Elephas maximus indicus: one gene and its partner. The protein of the gene in region 2 purifies or fractionates together with the protein of the main gene of each other region. This does not show direct contact. Links are inferred from orthologs where the notes say so. Each region holds a gene or a part of one and is shown on either strand. Other genes may lie near its edges. The genes, in order: LSM12 and ATXN2L.

What was found.
Region 1: the proteins of ATXN2L (region 2) and LSM12 purify together in Homo sapiens (affinity purification with mass spectrometry; 4 studies listed by BioGRID and IntAct, with this or other methods). This does not show direct contact. The link is inferred for Elephas maximus indicus from reciprocal best matches to the Homo sapiens genes ATXN2L and LSM12.

The regions. Positions count from the first base shown.
Region 1 is NC_064837.1:50,604,810-50,619,922, reverse strand, and holds the start of LSM12 (protein LSM12), read left to right. Parts: upstream 1-7,106; 5' UTR 7,107-7,203; coding exon 7,204-7,327; intron 7,328-9,119; coding exon 9,120-9,253; intron 9,254-15,113. Other genes in the region: G6PC3 (glucose-6-phosphatase 3), read right to left, coding at 289-652, 874-1,015, 1,206-1,324, 1,501-1,591, 2,002-2,108, 3,949-4,166. UniProt on the Homo sapiens protein: Nicotinic acid adenine dinucleotide phosphate (NAADP) binding protein. Confers NAADP sensitivity to the two pore channel complex (TPCs) by acting as TPC accessory protein necessary for NAADP-evoked Ca(2+) release.
Region 2 is NC_064830.1:88,852,676-88,867,712, forward strand, and holds the start of ATXN2L (ataxin-2-like protein), read right to left. Parts: upstream 7,469-15,037; 5' UTR 7,196-7,468; coding exon 6,900-7,195; intron 6,316-6,899; exon of another isoform or gene 6,014-6,315; coding exon of another isoform or gene 5,892-6,013; exon of another isoform or gene 5,876-5,891; intron 5,863-5,875; exon of another isoform or gene 5,733-5,862; coding exon of another isoform or gene 5,695-5,732; exon of another isoform or gene 5,390-5,694; intron 5,293-5,389; coding exon 5,256-5,292; intron 5,045-5,255; coding exon 4,988-5,044; intron 4,903-4,987; coding exon 4,831-4,902; intron 4,453-4,830; coding exon 4,302-4,452; intron 3,885-4,301; coding exon 3,760-3,884; intron 2,655-3,759; coding exon 2,563-2,654; intron 2,087-2,562; coding exon 1,886-2,086; intron 1,270-1,885; coding exon 1,094-1,269; intron 926-1,093; coding exon 815-925; intron 17-814; coding exon 1-16. UniProt on the Homo sapiens protein: Involved in the regulation of stress granule and P-body formation.

The DNA of each region.
Region 1 (15,113 bases), on a different chromosome or scaffold from region 2:
CTTTATTGGGGCCTCCTTGAGACACCCCTCACAGTGCTGCAGGAACCGCTGGTCTTGCCATTGCTCCTGCTCTTTAGGGGCTTGGGAGGGAAGGCAGGAGAAGACCAGCCTCTCTGGGAGAGAAAAGGCTCTCTTTTGGGGCTAAGACCAGGTGGTGGGAGAAGTTGGGGAAATTCAAAGTAAGCCTGTTGGGAGCTGGACACTCAGAAGGGATGGGGCTGCCTGGAAGGCAGAGGTAGAGGAGTGTTGGCTTTGGGAGGGAAGGTAGTGGAAGGAAGTACTTGGACGTCAGGAAGAATGGATGGCTGGGGCTTCCTGGGCACTGAACAAGTGTACCACCCAGGGCACGAGGGCCAGGACCAGGCATGGCCAGAGGGTGAATTTGAGGAAATTGAAGATGTAGAAGAGGCTGACCTGAGGGGCATGGCCCAGCCAGTCCAGGGGACCTAGCAGCACCACGGCCAGCACAAAACAGGCAATCTTCTGGCCATTTCCCAGGTGTGCCCGCCGTACCTGGGCATAACAGGGAGAGTGCAAGGCAATGCCCAGACCCAGGGCGGCACCTGAATCACGGCTCAGGGAGGCAAAGGGCCGGCTGTCCACATGCAACCACTCAGGTCGCTCACACCACTTGGAAGCTAGGTTGATGGACCTGTGGTGAGGAAGAAACATTCCCCTGGAACCTAGAGGGCCCCGGCTCTTAGCCATCTGCCCTTTGGGGCCCAGCCTCATGTTCTGTGACTCCAGAAGGGTCTATCTTTGTGAATAAGCGGTGTGTCCTTTGTTAGCTACAGTTAACCAGGGACCTACTAGACTAGATCCAGGTGAGGTAGCACAGGCCCTAGCCTGCCCAGTCTTCAAAGAGGGACTTACCAAGAAAGATCCAGGCCCAGTGTAAAGAGGGTCCAATAGATGAGGCTGGCGCCCAGCATGAGAGCCAGCGCAGTCAAACCGTAGAAGCTTAGCTCCCGCTCCGTGGGCACCCGGGGGGTCATCAGCCAGCCCAGGATGACACCTGGGGAAGGGGGTGACATGAGCTTCAAGGAGTTGGGGACGTGACCAGTGAGTTGCGGCTTGGCAGGAGAACACACTGAGACACGAGGGGGACCTCGGGGTTGGCTCTACAGAAGCCAGGGTAAATGCAAAGATTTTGAACTGGTCCTTCCACCACCAAAGGCACCCTCTCAGCCACTCCAGTTGCTTACCAGCTATTAAGCCAGCCAACACCTGGTGTGGAAAATGTGCTAAGATGAAGACCCGAGACAGGCCGACTGCCAAGAGGAAGGTGCAATAAGCCAGGCTAGGCATAATCCGCACCCAGCGGCTGGAAAGAAGAAAGGCAAATGGCTCAGGGGGTGTCCACACAGCATGGCTTCCCTCTACACCCAGGCATGGCATGGGTTGACCAAATGTCCCAGGACCCCCAAAACTCCAGCTCTCAGGCTGCCCTACTGCCATTATCCCTGCTCCCATTGGTGAGCAATGCCAGACAGAGTATACCTGCGGGTCCGAGTGGCCAACTGGGAGGAGACGGTCGTCATTACAGGCCAGAGGGCTGCTCCTGTGATCATGCAGTGTCCAGAAGGGCTACCTGATGGAGAATCCAGAAGCTTGTGGTAAGAGGATGGGGGTGGAACCCAGGTGTCCCTGGTGATATCTTAACACATCTTCCTTCCCCTAGCCAAGATGAGAGCTTCCTTCCAGTACTAGTCCATAGCTCCTTCTGCTCTGAGGGCTTTTTTACTCCCCATCCGCCTCCTTCCCCCATGAGGCCTCTCTCAGGCTTCTGCCTTGGCCTGTGTACAAGGTGGGCAACTGGCACACTGGCATGGGGGCCCTCCTCCTACAACTTGACTCAGTCTTCCTGGGGTTTCTTTGTTTTCAGGGCCAGTGACTGTGAGGCTGGGCATCTGGTGGGGCCACCCAGGCTAAAAAGTACTCTGAAATGCTTACCCAAACCCTAACCATATTGGGAAAGAGAGGAGGGTTGAAGCTTCCCACCTGGACCAGTTTCACATGAAGAGGGGAACTGGTGAACCTGGGCTGGGGCCTGGCTGTAGTACCCAGATTCATGGACCCACCAGAAGGGTCTGTCTCCAAAGAGGAACCTGCAAGAGAATAGATGCAGGACAACATTAAGCACAACACAGGCGGTAGGAGAGAGGGGAGAGTAGCAGAAGGACACCTGAGAGTCCACGGGAGAGGGGAAGAGTCAGAATGGGAACTCTGATTCTCTGCCATTACCCCGCCATGGTTTCCTACCTTGGAACAGGTGAAAGCATGCTATTTTCTAAAAGCAATAGGACACAACAGATTGTGGAGTGTGTGTGTGTTGCAAGTCCAGATCTCCTCATCCACAGAGAGCCCAGGACCTGACACTTCTCTTCCCACTCCCCACCCTAGACTCTCACTAACCCTCCTGCTTCCGTTTTTCTTGGTGCCATATCCCCTCTCTCCATTTCCCAAATTTCATCTTGAATTACCCACACCTGCATTACTTAGGTGAGTGTCTCATGTTTGAAAACGGGAGTGGTGAATGGACAAGGTGGCTGAGAAAGTGTAAGGACAAAAAATTCAAAGTTCCCTGGCTTAGTGGGGGTGGCTTCTTGGCTAGGCCCTGGACAACCACACACTGAAGGCTGCTGTGGCCAGGAGAAAAGATGGGAGCGCAGAAAAGATGCCAGCAGGAAGCTGTGTGCCAGGGAGGGTGTTGCAAGAGGGACCTAACTCCTCCGCAAAAACAACCTAATTTCACATACTAGATGTTCAATACCTACTTAGCCCCTACTTTGTCATGTGGGGGGCATTAGCGCTCCACCAAGGGCTGGAGGTGGGAGGCCTGACGGTTGAGGGAACAGGACAAGAGAGGGAGGCTTATACAGACTCTGAGGAAAGAGAAAGCATAAAGCAAAGGGCAATTAAGCAAGAAGGAAACGATTTGACAATTGCTTTTCCGTTTACAGCAGGAATGCATAGCTACAGAAGAGTGGAAGGGAAAGTAACTATTTTGTTTTTTCAGCAAGTCATTCTTTTTTTTTTCATTCCAGTCCATTCAAGTGTCTCCTATGGACCTCCTTCCCTCCTGCAGAGGGAACAGAGGCTGAGGTGAGGCAAGGTGCTGGCTGCATGCCCAGGGAGAGGCACCACTCTGTTGTGCACCCAAAAGAGAAGAGGTGGCTCAAAAAGATAAGCCCCAAGGGCTGCAGGGCCTCCACCCACTTGCCTGGGATTCTTGGCTTCTAAGTCTCAGTGTGAATAGCCTACTAGTGAATGAAGAGAAAAAGGAAAAAGAGACAGTGTGCCCTGGAAGGCAATGCTTTTCAAACTTTACTGTGCACTGGAATCGCCTGGGTACTTTGTTAATATGCAGATTCTGATAGCGCAGGTCTGGGCTGGGGCCTGATACTCTGCATTTCTAGTAAGCTTTCCAGTGCTGCCTATGTTCTGATTTGCAAGGCTTGTAGCCTTTTCTGGCCTTAGCAGCTCGTGGGATGCCTGGCACAAAGTGTGCTTCTTAAAATTGCGTCAAAGGAATAAATAAGTAGATGAATGAAAAAGCGAGTTTAAACCAGGGCTTTCACCTATTTAAAAATCGCCATAGATGCTGGTTAAAATACAGATCCCTAGCCTCTCCCCCGGAGTTTCTAAATCACTAGGTCTGAGGTGAGGATGGGGTATTTGCATTTTTAACACATTCCTTAAGCGATTTCTCTGATCAGGGATACTGGTCCAAGGGGCGGGCTGGGTGGACACTGAGGTCTGAGTTGAAGATGCTCAAAGAGGAAAAGTCGAGGCCACGGGGTAAGGGTGGGAGGTGTAAAGGCCATGGGTTCACTCTTGGGGGAGGTGCAGGCTTCTGAGGCACCCGCTAGAGAGGTCAGGGCTTGCATAGGAGTCAGGGTCCCCAGGGATGGGGGACCAGGCTGCCAGAGGGCTTCGCTGTCTCACCACTTGAAGACCAGGTTGAGCCATTCAGTGATGAGGCTGATCCAGAGCACCGCGATGCCCACGCGGGGAGAGGTGTAGTAGGCCGCGGGAAAGTAGAACAGGAAGAGGCACTTGGGATCGCCCAGAAAGGTGACCCAGAGCCACAAGTTCTCCAGCCCAGGCATCTGATTCTGCAGCGCCTCGGCCACCGCGATGCCCGCACCCTGCGCCGACTCCATGGCGGCCGGGGCAGGTCGAGCTGGGGCTTGCTCTACCGCGGAAGGCGAGAAGGCCGGGAGACTGTAAAGGGGGTACCGGATGGCCTCCACACCAACCCTCCCGCACCCCAGGCCCCGCCCTCCCCACCGGCGGCCGGCACCCAGGGCCCACCCACTGCCCCGCCCCGGGCAGTTTCAGGCTCGCGCGAGCCGGACCTCTCGCCGGTTTGGTTTCCTTCTGCGCTCTTCCTTGGGCCGTCTCTCTACTGGGCAGCGCAGGGGACAAACCTTTGCGAAGCGTTTCCGCAGGGCCCCACGTGGCTGCCGTTGTGTGCACGTGGACAGGGGGCGTAGAGGCGGCCCCGGCTGCTGTTCTGGGTGATGGGACAGTGTTGGGGATGAGCAATTAAGGGCAAAGGGCAATTGAGAAGGAGATGATTTGACAACTTATTTTCTGTTTACAGTAGGGATGAAACGCTAGCGGAGAAGAGTGGAAGGGAAGGTAACTCCTATTTGTTCTGCTACCCTCCAAAAATAATCCTGCGATCTCTTGGAGAGAGACTTAGGAATACTACCTCCTCCAGAAAGCCAGGCATTCCCGGTCAGCGCTGAAGCGGGACCCTAAATTTGCGTACATGCGTACACAGCAAATCCGTCCACGCCTTTCTCGCTGAGCCCAAGACTCCCGCCCTAATCTATCCGCTATTGACTCGCAAATTCTTATTTACAACCGACAAAGTCACACTTCGTCCCACTTCTAACCTTGCCTCCTGCCATCCACAACCCCGCTGGGCAGATAAACCAGGAGATAGTAACAGTGTAAGAGAGGAGGGGGACACACCCATGACAGAGTTTGTATGGCTTCTCTGGAGGAACACACGGAAAACAGAAATCTCAGCTATTCTGGGTGAGGTCCTGCCTGGGGCGGGCGGGGGGAGGGGGAAGGAGACTGTTGAAATGTCACCTCAGTACTTTCCTACTTAAATAACTTTGTTCTTGGAGAGTTTTCTGATGGGTAGTTGAAAATGAGAGTGTAAATCTGGGTTCTTGGAAAGAGATTAGTTTCACTAATTAAAAAGGTGTGGGGAAACGAGGCTGGATATAACTCTGGATATATACATCTCACTCCCTTGCTAAATGTTTTCCGGTTGTCCCCGGGAGAAAGCCTAAATTTCTTGCAGTCTTTCAAAGTTTGGTGTAGCTCTAGTCTCAACCTTCACCAGCCTGACCCCCGTACTCCCTTGATAATATTTCTGGGTTATTTTCCTTTCCTTGAAATCTCCAAGCTCCCTCCTTTCAGGGGTCCTGACACATGCGGTTTCTTCTGCCTGGACACGGCCACCCTGTTTCCCTGGTGGTCCTTCAGGTCGCAGTTTAGATTTCTCATTTCTTCCAGGAAGCCTGTCATCACAGTGCAATGTAAAAAATGGAGTGAGTTCCCATGGGGGCCTGAGAGCAAGCATGAGAGATGAAAAAGTACTCTGAAAAACACAAGCATGAGGGAGCAGTATTTTTATTTCTATAAGAAGGGATTGTACCAATACACCCAACACAAGAAAGTTGATGCCTGTTTCAGGGCAAGGAAACATTTTTGACTTTTGTTCAGATTAAACCCCTGCGTCGATTAAGTGGGGCCAAAGCTGGCCCTTTGCTTCCTTGTGGGGATAGAGAAAGGTCAACCTGTTGTTCCTCCTAAGTGAGGCTCCAGAATTTTTACGTTGGGGGGCAGGTGAGCTAGGGGAATGCAGTTGGTTTGGGGTGGTTAAAAATATATCTGTGTAGTACCTTACATGAGGTTAAGAAAACAACTGTTTTTGATATCAGATGGAGATTAATGGGGGTGGGACAGAAGCCCCACCCCTCAAAGGCCTCCCCCCATAACTATTACTGCTCCTCACTCCTGCCCTTTGCCTGGCTTGAGACGGGGGAGAGCAAGGAGGGAGATGGGGAAGCGTTGAGTTCCAAGGGTGACGGTCATTCATGGGGGAACTATCATTGATTAAATACCTACTACGTGCCGCCTGAGGCCCTAATGGCACAGTTGTTAAGAGCTCAGGCTGCTTAGCAAAGGTCAGCGGTTGAGCAGTTTGAACCCATCAGCGGGAGAAAGATGTGGCAGTCTGCTTCCCTTAAGATTTACAGTCTTGGAAACCCTTTGGGGCAGTTCTACTGTGTCCTATAGGGTCGTCGGAGTCGACTGGACGGCAGCGGGTTTGGTTTTGGCTTTTAGGTGAATGCGTTTATACACACTATCTCATTTAAGACTTCTTTTTTTTTAACTACTCTGTGAGGTAGGTATTATCTAACACGGTGCAACAGTGAATAACACCGTCTTTGGAAACAGGCCAACTGTGTCCAGCCACTTGCTAGTTGTGTGACCCTGGACAGGTTCAGTTTCTCTAAGACTTGGTTTCTTCATTGTAAAATGGGGATATTGATTCCTACCTCAAAGGGTTGTTGGGATGCTCAATAAGCGATAAAACAGATGCAAATGAAGAAACAGGCTGTAGAGGTTTAGTAATTTGCTGAAGATCATATAAGTAGTATGTGGCCGACCTGGGATTCCGATTCCAGTTTTCTGCTTCTATAGCCAACGTTCTTTGCGCAACCATTTTGTAAATAGGTATAATTATCTTGAGCAACTTTCGTTAAATCCTCATAGCCTTGGATTCCTCACATGTAAATAAAGGTAGTATATATTACTTTATATATAGAGTTCATTCATTAAGCTCTCGCTGTGGGCAAAGTGTGCACATAATGGGGACTGCAGGTCATTCCTGTTCTCGCTGTTTATTCCACGTGGGTCACTTATCTTTAAAGGACCTTACAAACAGTTGCCAACGCGGGCGCCGCTGCAGAAACATTATTCTTCAGATTCCTTTTCATTTCCTCGTTTTTCCTCTTCCACCTAGGCTCCCGCCCCACCCACGCCAGGCCACGCCCAGGCGTGTGACATCAGCACGCCCCGTGCGTCGCGTCGCGGCGCTCACTGGGGGCCCGGCTTTCGCCCGCTGCTGCCGCCGCCGCCGCCGCCGCCGGCCGCGGCTGCTCTCCCAAGATGGCGGCTCCTCCGGGCGAGTACTTCAGCGTTGGGAGCCAGGTGTCGTGCCGGACGTGCCAGGAGCAGCGGCTGCAGGGCGAGGTGGTAGCCTTCGACTACCAGTCCAAAATGCTGGCATTAAGTATCCTTCCTTGCGTGGAGCCCGAGGCCGGGCCGGCGTGTATGTGCGGTGGTGGGGGGGTGGGGGACGACGGCGGCAGCTGGGGCCCTCTCCGGGCCTAGGGGCGACCGGCTACCGCGGCGCCCCGGGCGCATGCGCACGGCCCTGAACTCCCCTCCCCCTCCCGCGGGCCCCCACGGTCCGCTTTGGGCAACCTGTCTCCCAGCCCTTGCGGGAGCTGGGCCCCAAGAGAGGGTTGGTGGGTGGAGAGGGGCTTGACACGCGGATGGCTTTTTGGGGGGAATGCTGTGAGGGGAGACACTGTGATCGGGCAGGGGGTGATGGTAGTGGGAGGGGGCTGGTGAATTGGAGCCCGGATGGAAGGGGGGCGGGTAAGATCATGTGGGGAGGGGGTGTGTAGGGCAAGGAACTGCTAGTGGGGCAAGGGTATGACTGTGAGTTTAGGAGGGGGGCTATTTACTGATGGGATTTGATCCGAGGAAGGGGCGGAGGGGTGGTGAGCAAATGGTCCTTGCTCATTTTGGGGAAGAGTAAGTGCAGGTCAGAGTTTGTATCTGAACTGGGGGTAGTGACTTTTCCTGGTTTGTGTGTATGTGTGATGCCATTGGGATGGGGGCTGCTGACTTTTAGGCTTCTCTGTCATTTGGTAATTGTTTTGTGATGCGCGTATGGGAAATCTGGTGCAGAGGGGGCTTGCCAGGTTTTTCAGGGACTTATGTAGAGATGTGTGGGTTACAGGTGAAAGAGTAAGTTCTTATCTTCTCTTGCTCAGCCCAGTACATGGAGTCCTGACTTTTCCATCATAGTAGCCTCCCCTTTTGGAAGTGACAGTGCTAGAATGAGTGGGAAAAGGTGGCCTGCTTCTTTGGGGTGGAACTGATTTCTGAGTTACTCTTGGAAGTAAAAACACTTCCTGGATGGAATAAATGTGCCACCTTTCCCCCTTTTATTTGAGCTACAGGTGGGTTTGTTTGGGTATATTTGGGGGAGGGGGCAATCTTTTAATCCTGTATGGCATCTTTCAAAATGAAGTTACCTGTTGAGTCTTCTGCCTTTGAGTGGCAAACATTTTCATTCATTTAACCACTAGTTATAGATTTCTAGTTTAGGAAGATGTCCTTTGAAACAGCTGCATACAGCAAAGACAGTTGCTTTTTTTAAAAACAAGAAGTTATACGTGGACCTAATGGGACTCTCTATATTAGTGGTTTAGATGGAAGGATCTTTGAAATGAGGAATAAATCTACTTGCTTTTCATTGGCATACTGTAGGCACTTGGTACATGGTTGGAGAGTGCGCGAATGAATGAATGGAGTAACTAGCTAGGTGAGTTTCCTTTCCAGTGCTGTAGTTTTCTCCTCTGTAAAATGGGAAATATCCAATCTGAAAAAATGAAAAAAAGCATTATGTTATACAGCAAGTATTATACCAAGAACAGAAAATTCTGGCTCTGCCGTCAAGCGGTTCATAAGCTCCAGACAAACAGTATACGTAAGACATAAAAATTGCGTCGTGCTCTCTTTGTGAAGCAGAGGTGACAGAAACCCTTTTGAGGCTTCCCGTTTTTGGTTGTGAGTTTGAAAAGCTCAAAATCCTTTGATTATGGGCTTGGGTGCGAGGAAGAGGCAGAGATTTTTGAGGAGAATAGTAATTGTTGTGAGCCCCCTCCCCAGCTCCCCCGTGGCACACTTTTTTACAAGAACTTTGTGTCAGTTGTGTTTTCCATGCCCCTTTTGGGATGTGTCCGTGCCTCTGCTTGCCCCTATTTTCCTTAACTTTATTTTCTCACCAGAATGTCCTTCTTCAAGTGGAAAGCCCAACCATGCAGACATCTTGCTCATAAACTTACAGTATGTTTCAGAAGTGGAAATAATTAATGACCGAACAGAAACCCCTCCTCCTCTAGCTTCACTCAATGTTAGTAAGGTAAGGACTTGAGGTCAGGTCTGCCTGACCAAAATGGCGGGGAAGATGAGTCTCATAGACTCTTGATGATATGTACATTGTCTGTTGTCTGTTTTTCATTGACTTACAGTCACCTGTTTTGATAGCTTCTTAAAAAAATGTGTCATCTTAGTTTTTGTCTTTATTCTTGGATATCTTCAGCATATCTTAAGAAACATCTCAATGCTCAGACAGAATTGACAGCTTGCTTTGCCATGTGTGAAAGGGGGCTTTTTATTTTTTTTTAACCTGGCGGTGGTCGGGTGGGATGGGGTGGGGCTTTTGCCTGTGAATCTCCTGAAATTATGAGTACATGTGTATGTGTGCACACACGAGTATATGTGTTTCCTAGGTGAGGATCTGGAGTTCTTTTCAGATTCTCAGAGGGATTCACGACCTACAAAAGTTTGAAAACCACTTCCTTAGAGTTTCGTTTGTCTTTATGTTTGAATTTTGAAGTCTAACAAATTTAGATCTTTAGGGTGTTTTAAACCTGAACACACAAATTGATCTCAGAACCCCAAGTCACTTTTTTGGTTCTTCAGCTCCATTAGCCAAAGTTCATGTTGAGCGATTAATAACGCCCGAAGCCTTGTCGTAGCCTGTGCTGTCCCCTGTATTTGGAACACTCTTCCTTCCAGAATGACTGGTGCCATATCCATTAGGACTCACCTTAAATGGCACCCCTTCTAAGAAGTCTTCCCTGATCACCCAGGCTAAAGTAATCTTCCCCTCATTTCTCTCATAGTACCTTGTTCTTCATAGCTAAGGTGACCGTACCTGTTGTCCAAACAGGAACAATTTTGAGTAAAGGGCTATGCTTTCATTTTATGCTGGGACAGCATGTATAGTTCCTTGTGTCTTGGGCAAAGTAGAACCTCACGTCACCCTATCCTGGCCTTTTTCCGAATTATAAGCTCCAGAAGCTCTTTGCTATTGAGTCAATTCTGACTCATAGTGGCTCTATAGGACAGAGTAGAACTGCCCCGTAGGGCTTCCAGGCAGTGGCTGGTGGATTTGAACTGCTGACCTTTTGGTTAGCAGCCATAGTTTTTAACCACTGTGTTACCAGGACTCCTTTTGTAATTATGTTTGTATGTTGCTCGCTTATCTAATATCTGTCCTTGCTGTGCTTTGTCCTACGAGGATGGGACCCATACCTGTTTTGTTCAGTGAATACACAGTGCCTTGTGTTTAATAAATATTCGTTGAGTGCATAAGTTGTGCCTTTGGTTTTAGTAGTGGCTGCAGTTTCTTAAGTCTCTTGTGTTACTGTGGAAGTTTTTCCCTCTGGAGGAGGCGCGTCATAATGTACGTTCTCATACCTCTCTTGGGAATATGGTATGTTCATCACGATTCAGCAAAGCAAGGAAACACTCAGGCAGCTGAAACACTAGAGGGTAATAGGCTAGCAAAACGTAGACTGTAGTTCTACCTTAGACCTGGAACCCCCTTCTTGCCAGATTCCAGGGAAATGGTTTAGTGATAGCTGAGAACAGATTCAGAAGGGTCTTGGGTTTCATATTAAACACTGTTGTCCTTTCCAGGATGTCCTGTTCTTAGAAGCCTATGTTTCCAAAACCCTGGCTTAGTTAGATACCTCCTTACTGAAGTATAGCGCTCTTTGGCTTGTCTTCTGTTAGTTCAAGAGATTTTAAAAGATCTAAGTGAAATACTTTGAGTCCAATATGTTAAGGAGAAAATAGGCTCTAAGTTATCCTTTGATGTTTATAGAGTATGAGAAGCCTGCCACTAAATAGTGAATAGTAAGGAAAGATTATCTGAAAGAGGGATGCTTTTCTCCAATTTAAAAGATAATGGGTTTCTACTCTTGGAAACAACAAATGCCACCATTTATCAGCGAGTGCTTGGAGTGATAGAGGGGTGAGACTGCTAAGTAGGAGCTATTAAGCAATTCCCTTCTACTTCTATAGCTATTTGATCTCAAAGATAAGTAGCTCTTGATTATTTAGTTTGGGGTTAATCTTTGCCTTTAGGGTTTTGCTTTCTGCTGGTTATGTTTTTTAGTTGTTTACTAGTATTGGTAACTAGTTGTTTACCCACTCAGGAAAGTAATAGATTGGGGAATACCAGAATCTTAATTTCTCTTACTTTGTGGCCTGCTTGCCAATTCTGGAAAAAGGTTTGCTGGGAAGAGGAGACAGAAGCTAAAAACTAAAATTAGGTTGAAGGGCTATCTTTGGATTTCATTTTTTCATTCTTTTTCTGCTTGTAGATTTGTTTATGAGTAAGCTGTATGGGTTTTCCCTTGAAACCAACCTTTAAGATGCTTTTTGAGTCCTCTGATTGAGTTAGAATTAGAGATAGCCTACGGGGCTGTCACTGAAAACAGCCAATCTGGGCAGCAATTTACATGTTGCTTGAATGACAGGAAAAGTTCATCTCAGTTAAAAGCTTGGACTTGGGGATTTCTTAAGATGGAGGATGGTTTAAGCATGTGGAAAGGAACTAAAACACTGAGCTCCCTGGAAGAAAACTGCTGAAGCTAGTGCTTCAGACACTTGCATTTTTGGGTAGCACTAGCTGTGCTTCCAGTGAAAGATAACCATTACATGTTGGCTCCTCTTGCTGACCTAGTAAGAGCTCTGCTTAATTAAACCTGTGGATATAAACTGGATATTTGTTTACTCTGGCCCTCCAGGAAATGGAAGGGAGGACCTTTTAAAGGAAACACTTATTCCAGCCCAACTAGGGAAGGTATGGACCAGCAAGTTCTTGGAGATCAGCCTGTTCTGTTGTCGTTTGGCAGCTTACTGCAGGTTAGCAAGTCATCTCTATCCATGGCAGTGGGATAATAGAGGAAGCTTGGAAGGGGACAGTGAGGCTGGAGAAGGGGGAAGTTTTGAATATCATTTTATCTTCTCTAGAGTAATATTGTATCCTGTTTAAAGTGTTCTGAATTTCCTGACCATAAAACAGAAACATTCAAGTAAAAGTCTAAAAGCATATCAAAGCCAGTCATAAATATAATCAGATTATTCACCATTGTTGCGTATTGTTAGTTTACTCTGCCACAGAAGGCTTAAATGTTGTCTGAGGACCAGAGCCCTAATAGCCTCATGGTAGGGTGTTTCTTAATGAGTTCCTTGAATTAAGTCAGCATCCTGTTCTCTGGGTTAGTATTCTCTCAGATGATTTGGGACATGTCAGTATTAACAAGGTCTTTCATGTAGCATTTATCAGACTCTTACTGAAAAATCTATTTTGTGTAAGGCATTGTGGTAAGCTTTGCTGGGAGCTATACCTTACATTTTTATAGAGTTTTAGAGTTTGCAGGGAGATTTGACAACATCTCATTTCATCTTCTTGGCCACCCTTTGTGTTCTTTGGAGTTTTTTTTTTTTTAGTTTAATGTTTGAGGAAACAGGCTTATCAGATTAAGTGACTTATTCACGGATGCATGGCTAGTAGCATGGGAACTAATATTTGTAGGTGCCGTGCTCTGAGTTAGCCATCTCATTTAAATTCTCACAACAGTTCTTATGGTGTGGGTACCATTGCCATCTTACAGAGGAGTAAACTGAGGCTCTAGCTTAAGGTCATGGAGCTAGTAAGTGATAGAGCTGGAGTTTGAACTCAGGTCTGGTGTTTTGATGTCAAAGTCCTGTGGTTTTTCTACTTCTGTGTGCTTATCTCAAGGAGCTTATAGAGTAGTTTGGTGAAATGAAATGAGTACTTGAATGTCTATAATATTAAGTAATGTTTCTAAATAAACAGAAATATCTGTATTGTATGGTACATTTGCTGTTATCGGTGGGCAGTGTGATCTAGTGGAAAGAACCTAGGAACAGACCAAGCAGATCTGACTTTAAGTTACTTACCTGCCTTGTAACCTTACTGAGCATCAATTTCCTCACCTGTTAAAAAATGGGGATAGTGTTAGTATCTCTCTCAGAGTTGTTAGGAGGATTACGTCAAGTTGGCTAGGGTTGGCAGATGTTGGTTTTGTTCTCCCACAGTAGCTATATGTAGCCAACTGATGCTCCTTGAATTGTGGGATGGGGTGGGAGGGTGTGACAAAGGAAAGCAGCCAGGAACCTTGATGTTACTATGTCAGTCCTCCCTGGCATTGGACCTGACGTGGATTCAGAGACCTGAACTTGCCAGCCCAAGACTGGGGAAAATCTAAATTGTACTGAATACCATTAATATGTGATATACTTAAAAGATGTTTTTGAGAGCACTTTTGTTGGTGACTTTTCAGGGCAGTATTATCAGGTGGCATATTTAAGTGAACACTTGCCTGAACACTGGAGGCTGGAGTGAGCAGTCACAGAACCTAGGAGCCTGTGCTTTCTGCCTTGGAGACTCCTAGCAAAGGACTTACTGACACAGCCAGTCAGTGTCTGTATTCATTTGTTTTGATAAGTGCACCCACTGCATTGAATGGGAGGTAAGCCTTCTTACCACTTCGCTGAGTTGGAAAATAATTTCTGGAGGGGAGGAGGAAAAGGGACAGAGCATGGACAGTTTAAATCCACAGGTAATGTAGGATTTAGGCATTCACCTCCCGTACCGAACTATTGACTGATTTGTCAGCCTCTTTTATCCATTTATCCATTACTAACAAGCACTGAGGAGCCCTGGTGTTCCAGTGGTTAAGCACTTGGCTGCTAACCAAAAGATCAGAATTTCGAACCCACTAAGCTGCTCTGTAGAATAAAGATGTGGCAGTTTATTTCCGTAAAGATTACAGCCCATGGGGCAGTTCTGCTCTGTTCTGTAGGGTCGCTATGAGTGATGAAGTGGTACCAGGAAGAAAGGATACCAAGAGCTTATCATTGGCCCCTGGTAATGGAGAATGAGTTGACTGCCGTTGAATATAAATGGTATCTAAAGATTGGTCTGGGGGTAAAGGGACCTGTTGAGGCTGAGAAGATGGAAGAGGCACAGAGTTCCCTTTTAAAAGAAACTGACTGTAGTGATTACCTTTGAATATAATTTGACACTGAGAGAAGAATTAACTTCAGTTTGGTTTTGAATTCAGCTTAACCTTTTGAAGTTCTGGTGATTTGAGAGTTAATCCCCAAGTATGAGTAAATTCCTGAGGTAGTTGATAGCTACTGCATTACTGCAGTGCTCTGTGTTCACAGACATAGCCTGTTAGCAGGGCCCTTGGCATACTAGTTGACCATATCTTCACCCAGATGTGTTGGGGTTCAGAGTTACTGAGTCAGAGATGGCCTGGCCACCTTATGTTTAGGTATGTGTGTTTTGGTAGGAGGTGGAAGATACATCATGTGTAAACGTGAGAAGGGAAAAAACACTTGTCCAGCCCAAGCAAGAATTTTTTGTTAGACACATAAAACTTTTTGGCTCATAGAGGTACAGAAGATCAAAGACTGCAGTCTTCAGTATGGATTATACTTCAACATAAAGAAAAGAAAAATCCTCACAACTGGACCAGTAAGCAACATTATGATAGACGGAGAAAAAATTGAAGTTGTCAAGGATTTCATTTTACTTGGATCCACAGTCAACACCCATGAAATCAGCAGTCAAAAAATCAAACGATGTACTGCATTGGGCACATTTGCTGCAGAAGACATCTTTAAAGTATAAGAAAGCAAAGATGTGACTTTGAGGACTAAGGTGAGGCTGACCCAAGCCAGGCATGGTATTTTCAACTGCCTCATGCATGCGAAAGCTGAACAGTGCATGAGGAAGACCGAAGAAGAATTGATGCCTTTGAATTAGGATGTTGGCGAAGAATATGGAATATACCCTGGACTGTCAGAAGAATGAACAAATCTGACTTGGAAGAAGTACAGCCATCTGCTCCTTAGAAGCGAGAATGACGAGACTTCTTGCCTGCTTTGGA
Region 2 (15,037 bases):
GGAAGAAAAGGGAGAGCTGTACAATGGTTACTGCTGGTCAATAAGCAATGGAAAGATGCCATCTGAATTAACACCAAATAACCTTTATATAATAGGCAGGTTCTCAAGTTGAAATGCTGATAAAGGCGAAAAGGCGAGGCAGGTTAACATAAGCAGGTGAACTGGCCTCATGGGCACCATGATAAACTAGAATGCCTAAACGGTTGGTCCTTAGTTCCAGTCAACTAGGACTATGTACCAAGGCAGGCTCAACGTTTTCAGAACCTCCTGTATCACAAAAAAAATTGTAATTATACGACTTCTAAGTCTTAAAATGTTGGCAACTACATCAATTCTAAACAAAAGACGTCTACCAACCAGATAAAACCAGAGCTTCCAACTGGTTCAAACCCCTGCTGAGAATGCACACTTCTACTCTAGATGTACTGAATCAGAATCTACATTTTAACAAGATCCGCAGATGATTCTCACGTATGATAAATTTTGAAAACAACTGCCCTACTAGTGGATCTCAGAACTAGTCCCTAACCAGTAGCACTAGCATTGCCTGAGAAGTTACGAAGGAAATTCTCACCAGGGATTCAAACCAGAACGCACTGGTTCAAAGCCCCGATACAACCCACGGATCACTAGGTTAGGATTTCTGCAATAGAAAAACTAAAAATTCTTTCCCCAAGAGAATAAATCCAACCCCCCTCCCATCAGCTTTCATATTTGAAACCGTCTCCCATTCCACCATTCAGCAGTTAGAATGTTTATATTCCTCTATAAATTTCTATCCCTCTATCTTCACCCGATACTAGTGAAATTTTACCTGCAGAAGGAGGTGGAACAGACGCTTCTCCAGAAGGCCTACTGCTAGATGAAGACAGAGTCTTGGCACCTCTCAGAGGCCGCTGTGCCTTAGGGGACATACGGGAAGGGCCTATTTTTTTTTAAAAATGGAATAAAAGTAAGAACAGGCAGACTAACTGCTGTTGCATTACCACCATGCATCATTCTTCCAACCCATCTAAATCCTACTTTTCAATTACGCTTCCCACCTTCTTACTGTCCCCTCTCTCGCCCCTGCCAAGCATGCTCCACGACTCACCTCCATTGATACCACGTGTCTCAGAGCCTGGGCCAGGGCTGCTATTGTCAAGATGGTGAGGGCCACGAGGTGGCAAAGAGCTAAGGCCAGGGCGGCCACCCCGGGAACTGTTACAGCGAACACCTCCCCGGGGACCTTCCCGGACTCGTTGGGGTAGAGGGATGTATTTCCCCTCCCTGGGGAGAGAGTTCAATTAAGGTCAGTTAGCCATAAAACCCATACATTTTGGAAAGATGAAGCCCTCCTTTCTTAAGCCCATCTCATCACCCCTCCCCCCAGCCCCGCCGCCACTGCACATGCACACGTAACGCCTGGCTCTAGCTTCCTTCACTACCCCACCTGAAGATATATCCTGGCTGAATGTTCTGTGGCTACAGGTTTATGGCCTTATGTTGTGCCAGCCTGGCTAATGTTCCACAATTCTACTGTTCCTGACTTATGAAAAAGATAGTATCACCCTGTAGTTCGAGACACAGCTTTTACAAAACACAGATCATTACGCACAGTTTCGTTTCACCGTGTAAAGGTGAAAAAAGAAATACGTACAGATAAAAGAAAAACAATATATATCAAAATTCTGGGGGGAAAACTTTTTTTCCTCCTAAATCCACAAGCTTTAGCCATGCTGCCTTAGATCAATTACTTAACCTCCCTAGACTTCAATCTCCAAAGCATAAAAACCAGGAATGTGTACTAGCCTATACCTCATACACTTGTGACACTAAAACAATAGTGTACAATGCTCTTTGCCCACAGTGAGCCCCAAGCAGTCCTGGCTGCCCCAGTAATCACCTGGATGCCAGGCTGGGGCTCTCCCGTCCTGAACTCTGCCGCTGGACTGCACTGTGCTTCTCCTCCTCAGTGCGCCCATCGTCATTCTCCATGGCGATCCGCAGGCGGTACTGCGGACTTGACTCAATCTCTCGGGCCAACTGGGCCGCACGCAGCTCCCGCTGACGGAACTCTTCTGAGTTGTCCTTCTCTAAAGGTACCCTGAGAGAACCCACACAGACCACCAGCATCCCAGTGCCAGGGGACAAAAGGGGAAAAAGAGAAAACACTTGTCAGTTCTATCCCCTGTGCAGGTATGTGAGTATCCTACCCCTTTAACAATTTAAGCATATATTCAGTGGGCGCCCACTGGAGTCTGGCAGTGTCCCATGGTATATCTTCAAGTCTGAAAAACACTTAGCTACAAACACACATAAAATGTGTTTTTAAATTCACGATGAAAGACACAGATGAAAAAGAAAACAGTTAATTCTACCTATGGGGTGCCCTAGAAATCAGGAAAAGGTAAGAGAAAACCTCCAAGGGAGGAGTTCACAAGGCGGACCAGGAGTAGGGGAGGGCAACCTGGGCACACAGAAAAGCATAAGCAAAAGCTATGTTCCACCTACAGGCTCGTGCCTTCTATTACTAACCCTACACCCTAAACTGCATCGCCCTGGAACTACCAAGATACTCACGTATAAGAAGAAAGGCTGCTATCATAGGTGGTCTTTACACCGTAGGTTTCCTCATTGAATTTGAACATTTCATTGGGATCCCATCCATTGGACTGGGTGGGGGGAGAGAAGGAAACGTATTTTAAACCCACAAAGAAAACAATCATGATGTGTCATTTTCCTTCCATCAACTGAAAAACTTAAAAATGTGACCAAAGCAAGGGTGGCAAAACAGGAACACTGCTGGTGGGACTATCAATTGATACTACCAACTGCTGCATGAGTTGGCGGTAACTGATAAAACTGAAAAACCCTAAGAACCAACAAATCCATTTCTAGGTTTTTACCCTAGAGAAGCTCTGCCACACGGACAAAAAGATATACATTCTGAAAGTTTAATAAAGCGTTATTTTTAATAATAGAGTAATGGACAAATCACAAATTAATAAAACCAAACACCAAATCCACTGCCATCTAGCTGATTCCAACTCACAGTGACCCTATAGAACAAAGCAGAACCGCCCGGTAAGGTTTCCATGGCTATAACCTTTACAAAGGCGACCTGAGAAATTTTTCTCCTGCAGAGCATTTGGTGGGTTAGCATTCGAGTGCTTAACCACTGTTCCAGTAGGGCTCCTCCGATCAGTACGGTAAAGGATAAAGAGTTTGGTGTGTGTGTATAAATGTGTATGTATATAAATTGAGCGCTACACGATAGTTAAAAGGCGTACACTAGATTTATATATCAACTCGAAAAATTTAAAAGACAAGCATGAAAAGTGAGCACCTGTGTAAATTAAACGTCGAAACAACAATGTATTCTTTCCTGAATACGCGTGCGTAAGCGTGAAACATCAGCCAGAGAAATATCAACTGCATCAAAGTAGTTGCTCTCAGAAAGCATAATGAATTTACGTGGTGTTCAGCCTTACCTGCAATCTGTTAATAAAGTCATCTGAAGCAACTATTAATAGCTGTCAATCCCAGATAGTGAGATACAGAGTATTTTGGTGATTTTTCTGTACCTTTTTATTTGGAATCTGACCACAGCCAACGAGTAACAGTAAAGGATTTTCCTCCCCTTCCCCTACAGGCTTGCTATGAGTTGGTATCGACTCAATGGCAACGGGTTTCCCTAAGAATGTCCTTACTGTTAACAACCCACATTATGGCACCAGAGTCACCCGGCCCTCAGGTTCCTAGGAAGGGAGACTTTACCATGTCAGACTCGAGGTCGTAGTCATCACTGTTGCTGTCGCCCCCCTCCCAGCGCTGGAGCACCTTCTCTTTATGCTCCCCGTTCACCTTGGAGTTCATGGCAATGGCTGAATCGGTGAATTTGTCTGTGGGGGCAGATTCGACAATCAGGAATCAGATAATTCTGCATATCCTTCCTCCCCCCAAAACAACTCATTCAGGAGTAAAGAAAAATTTAAGAAACCCAAATCTAGACTATACGTGCTATGTGCCAGGCCTGGAAGGAAGGCAGCACAGAAAACCTCATCTTAATAGTTCGAAATGAGCAAGCAGCTGAAACTAAGCAGGAAAAATGTGAAGAACTACAATGCAAGTCAGAAACCACTCCACTGTATCTTAGAAATAAAGGCACATTTTCAAGAACAACAAAAAAACCACCTCCCTCAGGAAAAAAAAAGGAGTGACTAAAACAAAAGAAGCCACCATTATGTTCCACCTGCACCCAAACTGCCGTCTCCTCCCCTCTACTCACAAAGTGGATCTGTAATTATCTAGAACAATACCTTTAGTAGCATAATTGAAGTCAACATTTCGAAAGTGGACTAGCATGACATCACTTGGCTTAAACACCATGGTGTCCACAATGTCTTCCCGACGAGGGCCACCTGCTGGCTCAGATGCTTTCCTGTGCACAGCATCTACTGCTAGTTCAAACTACAAGAGCCCCCATTCCCCAACACCCGAAGGTCAGTATCAAGAAATGTGAAAGCAAAAATACAACTATTTTCCCTTTACTCTTTCCAAAAGTACCCCATGTACACTGCCTTCTCAACACCACCCGAAGGCCTAACAAAAGTCTCAAATTTAAACATCTGACATTCTAAAATTCATGCTTTTTAACAACAGAAGAGCCCATGTTTATTCAGACCCACGTCTTTTATTACCACTTGTAGTATTACCCTGGCATAGACCTACATAATGAGTAACACCCATAATGTTGACCAATACCACCCAATCCAATGCCTTTGATAAATCTATTCCATTCTCCTCTTCCAGCAAAGTCCAAAAATAAGCTGATTCGAGTACACTGACCTTTGAGCTCAAAGTCTTGAAGATACCCTCATAGGTGGTCCCATTTTTCACCTTTACATCACAAGTAGAGCCCTAGGAGAATGAGAAAAATAAGAATGTCTCTAGCAAATTGAGTCCTAACCGTCTTAAACAACCTAGGGGTTAAGTACCCACTTACCACAACAGCTGTAAGGAAATGTAACATTCTGTAATTGTTGTAAACACCCTCAAACACCTGTCAGCGACAAAAGAGGGAGAAATAAGAAGTGGTCGGTCAGTCAATGTTTCACTTTCCTTTTAAATGCCCAGGCTCCACTCACCCCCACCTTGTGTGTGCTGGGTCTCCGGTCCTTCTCAGCCCCTCTACCTCTGTACCTAATCTCCCCTATACCCCATGTGAGCGGCTTTTAGGTCCTCATATCTTAGGGAGAGATAAACGTACTCACTGGTGACTGTGGGGGTCCTTTTCCTGTGCTCTGTCCCCTAAAAGGGAAAGGATAAAAAAATTGGTTATTTAAATCTTTTTAATTTTCCTTTACAACATTAACCTCAAAGCACTTAATATCCTAGAAACACATACCAAATGAAGATGCTGATTTAGGCTACAAACCAATTTACCAACAAGATGTTCAAATTCTCACCTTATAGGGGAAAACAACAGTAAGCATCAAGAGCCAGTAAATACGCTGCCTCCAAATTCCAGTAAAATAAACCATAATCGGGAATAATTGTCATTGGTCTGAAGAGCCAATTCAACACAACCTCCTCACTTTCTCCCAGGGGCAGAGGGCTGCATGCTTCCAACAGACAACGCTACAGTATTCGATAACCAATAACCCATCCCAGATATAAAGGCAAGACTTAGGTAGATTTGGTAGTACCTACCTCAGACACATTACTTCCCAAATAGAAAAGACAATCATTTTCAGTAGGTAGATTTGGTAGTACCTACACGCACCTCAGACACATTACTTTCCAAATAGAAAAGACAATCATTTTCAGCAGCCTCACACCCCAAGCCCTGAGAGGAAAGCCCCTCCACACCTCACCCCCTAGACCTCATTACCCATTCAGCCTATTACCAACTCGGACAGGTCACCAATCCCTCGGTAACCCCGCTCCTCGATGGCTGATGTAACCGGCGATTGAGGGCGATGAGGGGGCCGTTGGCGGGGCTGGGGGACAGCGCAGCCGCAAAAGCCATCCACCGGGAGGCCTCGCCCGGTCTGCGCCTGCGCTCTCAAGCCCACGGGCCTCTTCGAAACGCCCCCTCCCGTGACCAGAACCCACTGCGCCTGCGTGTACCACCACCCTCAATTCCATTAAAAAGAGAGACCGAGAGGGAGAGAAACCGAGTGGGGCCTCCAGTACCCCTCCAGGCACACGCCCAGCTTCTGCCCAATATGTTGCCCCGGACACACGAATGCCCGGGTCAAGAGACAGTGCATCCGCGCGCACGTACGGCAAAAGCGCGCGCGCGGCGGAGGTTCCCGGCCCGCAGCCCTCCCAGACCTCCCTCCTTCCGTCCCCCCGCCCTCCCCGCTCCCCTCCTACTGGCCAGACCGGGAAGGGGGAGGTAGCAACCCGCTCCCAAGTCCTTCCCTCCCTATTGGCCAAACTGTGGGCCGCGCGCCCCCCTCCATTGGCTACGGCCGGGGACCCCTTCCCGCAGCTGACTCCCCATTGGCTGAAGCCCGGGACCGCGAGACCCTCCGTGGTAATGGAGCCGGGGACCCCGCTCACCTTTTCTCCCCCCCGCAACTCCCCGATTCGGCGGTGCTGGAGAGGTGCGCCCCGCTTCCCCTGAAAGCCCGAGTCCCGAACCCTGCCTAGGCCTTGAAAGCTCAGCCTGGCCCCCAAATGTCCCATGGCTGCCCGGGGACCCTTTTCCTCCGACCTGTTAGGACCTGAGGGTACCCACCCCCATCTTCACGGGGGGCCTCTCGCTCCCCCCGGTGCCGTCCATAGGTGGTCACGTTGGGGCCCGCCCCACACCGCTGTACTCAGGCCCCGGCCGCCGGGCCGGAACAGAGCCGCCGCCTCCTCCTGGTAGCCTCTGCTCCCCCGCCCGGAAGCCCACCCCTCCTCACCTGGAGGTGCCGATGGTAGCTGCCCCTGGCCTCTCTTGATGCTGCGGCGGCGGCGGTTGCGGCGCCAAGATGCTCTCGGCTCCCCGGCGCAGCCCGCTCCCTGCAGCGGCTCCGGGCCCCAGGCAAGGGGAAGCGGCCGCGGGAGGCCCTGGGGAAGTCGAGGTGGAGGCCAGCGGCCCCGGGAGGCTGCCGTTGGGAGGGCTGGTGCCCCCGGGAGGCCGGCGGGCCACGGCCTGTTGCGTGGGGGGCGGCTGCTGGGGCTGGGAAGTCTGTTGTGGCGGCTGAGGCTTCAACATGATGGCAGCGTCCGGAAGGGGAATCAGGGGGAAGGGAAGGAGCGAGGGGGCCGGGACTAGGCCCCTGCCGGAGGGCGCGGGAAGCGAGGGGGGTTGGGATGCTGGGGACCCGCCGTTGGCGGGCGGGGGGAGCCCCGCGGTGTCGGGGGTGGATAGAGAAGACCGCGGCGCGAGGAAGCGCCGCGAGGCGGAAGGGGAGGGGGTCTCGCGGGCTGTAGGAAACCGAGAGGGCGCGAGCCGGCCTGGCGCGCGTGCGCGTCGCCGGGAAAGGGGGGAGCGCGCGGGTGAGAGCTCTCGAAGGGGGAGGGGCGGGGAGGAGGGAGAGGTGGCGCGAATGCCGGCGCGCACCGGGGCGGTTAGCTCCAGGTGGGTGAGGAGGGAAAATAAAATTAAGTGAATTTCGCGCCCTTAGCCTTTGGAGTGGGAAAGGAGCAGCGCGGGCGCTCACACGCGCCAAGAATTTAAAGTCTCTAGGTCTGAAACAGCCCTAGAAACTGGCAGCGGCTGTCGCTTCACAATGACCGTGTGAGCGCCGGGGGAGGGGCCGAGGAAGCGGAGAGGAAGAACCGGTCGCCCCGCCTACGCCGCCGGCGTAACGTCGGGATGCCTCCGCATTTGTGTGAGGAGGTACCACGTATCGTTCGATTCTTCCGCCATTCTGGGGCTAGTGGGTGGAGTCTAAATGCAAAAAGATCCCCGGAATTGGCTAAGCCAAGGGTTCTACTCCTTTAAGCAGGTGGTAGGTTTTGTGAGGAGCTACTTTGGACCTTACCTGCTTTAAATAGAAGACTGAAGAGGATTGAAGTGTCCGAGTTTATCGTACTGGCCTTTGCAGATTAGCCTAATCATAAATCTTAAATTTAAGAAATTTCCATTATCTCGGGGCCGAGGTTCTTACGGTCTAGTTCAAAACCCTCCCCCCAACTCTGATAAAGCCAGCATTCATTCATTCAAAATTAGTTGGGCTTTAGGACATTTGGATACAGCGATAAGTAAACCACTTCCTACCCCCAGGGAAGGAGCTCTGGTGGTGCAGTGGTTAAAGCGCTCAGCCGTGCTAACCAAAAAGGTCGGCAGTTGGAACCCACCAGCAGAGAAAGACATGGAAGTCTTCTTCCGTAAGATTTACAGCCTTGGAAACCCTACCGGGCAGTTCCACTCTGTCTTACAGGGTTACTATGAGTTGGAATCTACTCGAAGGCAGTGGGTTTGGCTTTAGTTTTGCCCTCGAGGAGTTCGAGCTGTTTGTGGATTCACGCAATTAGATGAGATCTGTTAGATGAAGTACAGGGCACTGTGAGAACAGATAGAGGTGACACCGAATCCAGTGTTCCGTGGCATCAAAATTGAAAAGACAGTAGAGAGATGAATTTTTAGGCAGTGGGAAATGAATGTGACAAACAGAAAAATTCAGCATGGCTGGAATGGAAACCCTGGTGGTATACGTGGTTAGCTGCAAACCAAAAGGTCAGCAGTTCATATCCACCAGGCGCTCTTTGAAAACTCCATGGGGCAGTTCTATTCTGACCTATAGGGATGCTATGAGTCAGAATTGACTCAGCGGCAGTAGGTTTGGAGCATAAAATTAGAAGAAGAGGTTAAAAAATAGAGACACGAGGTAGGCAACCTGGGACCAGATTCTAAAGGCCCCCACTTGATCTTCAATGAAGTGGGGTGGGGCTTTTTTTAGAAAATGAAGAGGTCAGATTTGCAATGTGGAGAATGGAATGGAGAAGTGATGGGCATGTGGTCTTATCCAGTGAAATTTCTCATGTCTTAATCTCTCTTTAAACCCTATGGGCTAGTTCTACTCTGTCCTATAGGGTGGCTATGAGTTGGAATCAACTCGACAGTGAGGATTGAATCTCTTTTTGCTCCAGGCATTATTAGCGTTAGAACTCTTCCAGCTCTCCTCCCCTCCTGCCTCCCAGTTAAAAGGCAGCCCTTCTCTGGCACTGGGCTTTTTGGGTCTCTTTGGGAAGTCTTCTCTCACCTCAGTCTCACCCCAATTTCCAGTGGGTTAGGTTCCCGTTCTGTGTGCGTGGCCACTTTATTCTGATAGCTCATTTAATTATGTCTTCCTGCAAGTGTCAGCTCCCTAAAGGTTGGGATCTTGATTCTTACTGCCCTCTCTGCACTACCTAGCACGATGCAGGCAGTCAATTAAATATTTGTGAGGTAAATGTTTCCAAGTCGTATCTTAAAGACCTTCATTCTCCTGGGTGCCTAAGTAATACAGTCTAGCTTTTTCCTGGCATTACCTGCACTATCTGGTACCATGCTACCTCTTCAGTGCTCCTGCCCCTCCCCCTCAGATTCTAATTAAACTTTCATTTCCATAACATAACCCATTGCCATGGAGTCCATTCTGACTTGTAGTGGACCCTGTAGGACAGAGTAGAATTGCCCCGTAGGGTTTCCTAGATTGTAATCTTTATGGGCCAGATCCCCAGGTCTTTTCTTCTGCAGAGCTACTGGTGGGTTCAAACCACCAACCTTTTGTTTAGCACCTGAGTGCTTAATCACTGTGCCACTGGGGCTCCCTTTCCACAATATGTCTTGCCCTTATTCAGCCCTGCCTTTACATGTGTTGTTTCTTCACCTAGAATTCCCGTTTCAATTCTCTAGTTTTTTATTCTTAAGTTGGAGTGTCACCTTTTCAGACATCCTGTTATTTACTCCTTCCTCTGGACGTCCAGAGCACCATATTGGTTTTGTTTATATATGTGTGTCTCCTTTCCATTGGGATCATGAAGGGCAGGGACTGTATTTTACTCATTTCTAGATCCCTTGTGCCAAGGTCAGTGGCTGTCACCCAATCGACAAATTGGTAAATGACTGGAATGTTGTTTTCTTGTATGAATTAAAAAACTATATGACTATGATTTGATATGGAGCGATTGCCAGGATATATTGTTAATTGAGAAAAGCAAAGTTCAAAAGAGTAGAAACTATGGTATGAGGAACAAGAGAAGGAAATAAATGTATCCGCAAATTTTTGCAAAGAGAAATAGAGGAAGAATAACCCAGAAACTAATAAAATTGGTTACCTGTTAGGATAGGGAAAAATGGGGGTTCCTTGGTTACTGGGTTACACTCTTCTTTTGGAAGAAGACAACAGAGCTCCGATGGGGGGTGGCCAGGGGAAGGGACACTTCTTTCAGTATACCTTTTCGTATAGTTTTGACTTTTCAGATCATAGCACAGTCAACATATTAAAAAAATGAGATCAATAAGGATGGGAGGCTAAACACTGAGTACAGATGTAAACAAATGAACCCAACTATATCTCAGATGAAGAAAATAACCACATTGAAGGGAGAAAAATAGAACTAATTCAAGTAGCTCTTCAAGTGTCTTCAGCCTAAAGGAAAAATAACTGCAAAAAACCTCAACTCTAGTTACAGTGATAAAGTCATGGCAGTTCTGAAACTATTTTGGGGTATTGTAGAACTGAGCACATGAGTGTTGTTGGGAGCCAGGGTTCTCAGTGGGGAAGAAAAAAAAAAAGGAACCCAAACCCATTGCTGCTAAGTCCATTCCAACTCATAGCAACTCTACAGGACAGAGTAGAAACTGGCGCACACAGTTTCCAAGGACCACCTGGTGGATTTGAACTGCCAGCCTTTGGTTAGCAGCTGTAGCTCTTAACCACTATGCCACCAGGGTTTCTATATACATATATATACACATAATACATTCGCATTCATATCTAGTGTCCAGATCTTGCTTTCCAAATAGTATTTTTCAATAAAAGGACTCAGAGCTCCTTGAAGAAATGGTTGATTCCAGGGCAGAAGTAAGGAAGGTACAAGATGAGTTTGGAACATCTTGTGGCAGAAAACAAGTACTTAAAAAAAAAAGTGATAAGGAGATCAAAGAGACATAGGAGCCAGCTTGAAGAGGTTTTCACTGGCCAAACCTGGGACAAATTGTGCATCAAAATAAGGAAAGTAATAGATCATAACCCACTGAATAAAAGAAGAATCTGTGCATCCATGCTGTTAATAGGTATAAACATACATGCTTACATACGTAAAAGGAAGGCACACACACTAGAGAAAACAGATGGACGTTCTTCAAAAACGCCCGTGGCACGAGAGACAAAGGTAGAGGAACTCTTCCAGATTGAAGGAGGCTTAAGTGGCTAATAGCTAAACGAAACACTTGATCCTGGCCTAGATTGCGTAATAGAAAAAGATTGCTATAAAGGATGTAAATTTTCCACTGGCAAATTTGGAATATAGACTATAAACTATTGGATCTATGATAAATTTCCTGAATGTAACTGTAGATATGTATATTATTAGAAAATATGTACTGAATTTTTATGGAATAAAGGAACATAATATATTCAGCCTGTTCTTCAATGGTTTTATACACACACACACACAGAACGAAAAAACAAATGTGGCAAAACATTAACTATTGATGAATCTAGGTAAACAGTATCTTTGCCTTAATTTTTAAGTTTGCAATTACTTGCAAAATAAATTACACATAAGTAAATAAACCACCTAAACATATTTATATCAATATCTGTACATATGTGAGTATGTATATATATATACATGCACACATATGTCAATATCAACCACAAACATGATAAGTTAGCTGAGCAGTTTTAGCCCTCAAGAGTACCCCTAGACTGTTCCCCAGTGTTCTGTGCATTTTTTTTTTTAAGTGTATTGAGCAGTAACACCAGGTTGAGCCTCCAGTGATACCAGGACTTCATTTGGCTATATTCCTTACTTACCTAGACATATAAGAGTGGCTGCAGGGCAGATGAGGCATTCATTATGATGAAGGCTGACCTAAATATGTTCCCCTGTCACATATCCTACAGGGACATTTTCCCTTCCTAAGGGCCTGAGCTACGGTTGCTAACCAAAAGGTCGGCAGTTTAAATCCACCAGGTGCTCCTTGGAAACTACGGGGCAGTTCTACTCTGTTCTGTAGGGTTGCTGTGAGTCGGAATTGACTCGATGGCAATGGGTTTGTTTTGTTTTTTTAAGGGACTGAGCATTGCCTACGGAGAGGCTGCAGGAGGTAGCAGAAAAGACACAGGGTTGCGTCCTAGAAGACAAGAATTCTCGTTCTGCCTTTGTCTCTTACTAGCTGTACCAACTAGCAAGTCGCTGGGCCTCTGTCTCAGTTTGTAACAGGAGAGGCTGGATTAGATGGGGGCCCAAACTCAGATGCCCATGAGGCCAGGCAGGTAAAACAAGCAGGCACTGTGGCAAACTATCTAAAAAGGGGTCTGCTCTTCACTTCCAGCCAACTCTTGCCAGGTAGGGGTGTGCTCCAGTGTTGCCAGAGATGATTTCTTAGGAGCCAGAAGTCCAGATTTGAGAAACTAGAAGTTTGGATTTTTTGAACATCTTGTGGGCCAAACAATGCACTTTTGCAGCTGTTGGGTTGGACGAACTCCAAGATCTGCTGTTCTCCTTCACCAGTTAGAGCGTAACCCTGCAGCTGGATTCTTTCCAAAGCGGCTCCTGCTGTGGTCCTTCCTCTGCTAACAAACATCTTTGCCATCCCAATACGGTACATGGAGCTGCTTCAGTCCTTCCGAGGAAGGTGGGAGCACCCTACCTCTGCCTTTCCAATTAGTTTGGTTAATGAGTTCCATTCCTGAGCTTATCTTCCATCTCGTTTCTCATTTTCCTCCTAATGGGACTCCAGGCACAGGTCCCCAGAATCCCATCCTTTTCCACTCAATCACTTGTCTCCCCCCTTCCTTCCTCCCCTAGGTCGCACATAAACCTATCGATATTACCTCCCCTCGACTCTGAGGAGGAGTCCCTGGTAGCACAAACAGTTAAGCACTCAACTACTAGCCAGAAGGTTGGCAATTCAAATCCTCTCAGAGGCACCTCGGAAGGCCTGGCGACCTGCTTCCCGAAAGGCCACAGCTTTGAAAACCCTATGGAGCAGTTCTTCTCTGCGTATACTTAGGGTCACTATGAGTGGAATCACTCAACAGCAGCTAACAACGCATTGGTAATATCTGTTCAAAGGGCCGAGGAAAACCACTGGAAAGCATTTGTCTTGTTTTTGGTTGACTGTTGATGTTGCTCCAGATTGCCTGAAAAATTTGTTCAGCTGTTTCACTTTACAGCTCATAGTCTTAAACAAGTTTATTTTTTCTGGACACGTTTCTTCAGCTACTGCAAAAAAATACAGTTCAATTAACTCCCCATCAGTAAAGGGCTTTCCTTGCTCAGCTAGCAAGTAAGCCACTCCAAAATGGACTTTGGTTGCAGCCTCACTTTCATTTTTTTGTTTGTTTTTGTGAAAAATATTCTGCTATACTGAAATATTCTACTTTAAATTTTCTAATTTTTCTGACTGTTGCATTTCTCTAAGTTAGGAATATGGTGGGCCTGGTAATGTCAGTGTACATTGCAGAGTTCTAGGGCCACTGAATAATAAGCATGATGCTTTGCCATCTAATTCAGTGACAAAATAATTCACACTTGGCTGTCATTTTTCTTACTTGACATGATAGGTATGTACTGGTAATTATTTTTAAAAAAGTCATAGTATGATGATACACGTGGCATTTGAAACTCATGTCTGGTTAAACTGTCACTGTGATTTGTAGCATCACAAGCAGCAATGTGAAGCAATGAGAGTACCACCCCATACAGTCTGTCGCAACTGCCTAATTCTGCTGTCAAAGTTCAAAAGTAGTCATAGACAGGACACAAGCAAATGGGCATGGCTCTATTCCAATAAAATTTTTAAAAATTTGATTTTCACATCATTTTTACATGTCATAAAATATTCTTTTGATTTTTTTTCAGCCAATTAAAATTGTAAAAACCATTCTTAGTTCACCAAACCAAAAACCAAACCCATTGCCTTCGAGTTGATTCCAACTCATAGTGACCCTATGGATAGAGTAGAACTGCCCCATAGGGTTCCCAAGGATTGCCTGGTGGATTTGAACTAACAACCTTTTGGTTAGCAGCCATAGCTCTTAACCACTACACCACCAGGGTTTCCTCTTAGTTGGCAGGCTATGCAAAAACAGGCAGTGGGCTGAATTTGGCCTACAGGCTGTTTTACCAACTCCTGATCATGATTTTGCCAACACTGGTAATTCAGTAATGTAGTATCACGACTTATCCCCTGACCTATCCAACTGCCTACTTGACACCTCCACTTGGATCCTATGGTTATCTCAAAAAATCAGGCATATGTAATTAATGCCACTGAGTTATACACTTAAAAATGGTTAAAGTAGCAAGTGTTTTGTTACACACATTTTATAGTAAACCAAGAAAAAGTAACATGCAAACCCATACCTCTAGCCTTTTTCCTCCAAATTTTATTATGAACGTTTTCAAAAGTACAGAATTTTATAGGGAACATCTGAATACCTGCCAACCGGATTCTACTGTTAACGTTTTACTATACTTGCTTTATCACATAGCTCATTAATCAAACAGACTTTGGATGCCTTTCAAAATAAACTGCATACACAGTACGCTTCTAAATACTTCAAGGTAGAGCTCAATGTTTAAAGTTTGTTTTCTTTTAGGTAGAAGTCACATATAACGTTCTAGAGTTTTACTTATATGGAATAATATAGTATGTACTTTTATTTTGGTCTGGTTTCTTTCACTCGGCATAATTATTTTGAGATTCATCCATGTTGTTGCACATATCAACAGTTCTTTTTATTGCTGAGTAGTCTTCTATATCAAGGGTATATCACTGTTGGTTTATCTGTTCACCTGTTGGACATTTGGATTGCTTCGAGTTTTTTGGCCATTACAAATAAAGCTGCTATGAACATCCATGAACAAGTCTTTCATGGATATATATTTCCTT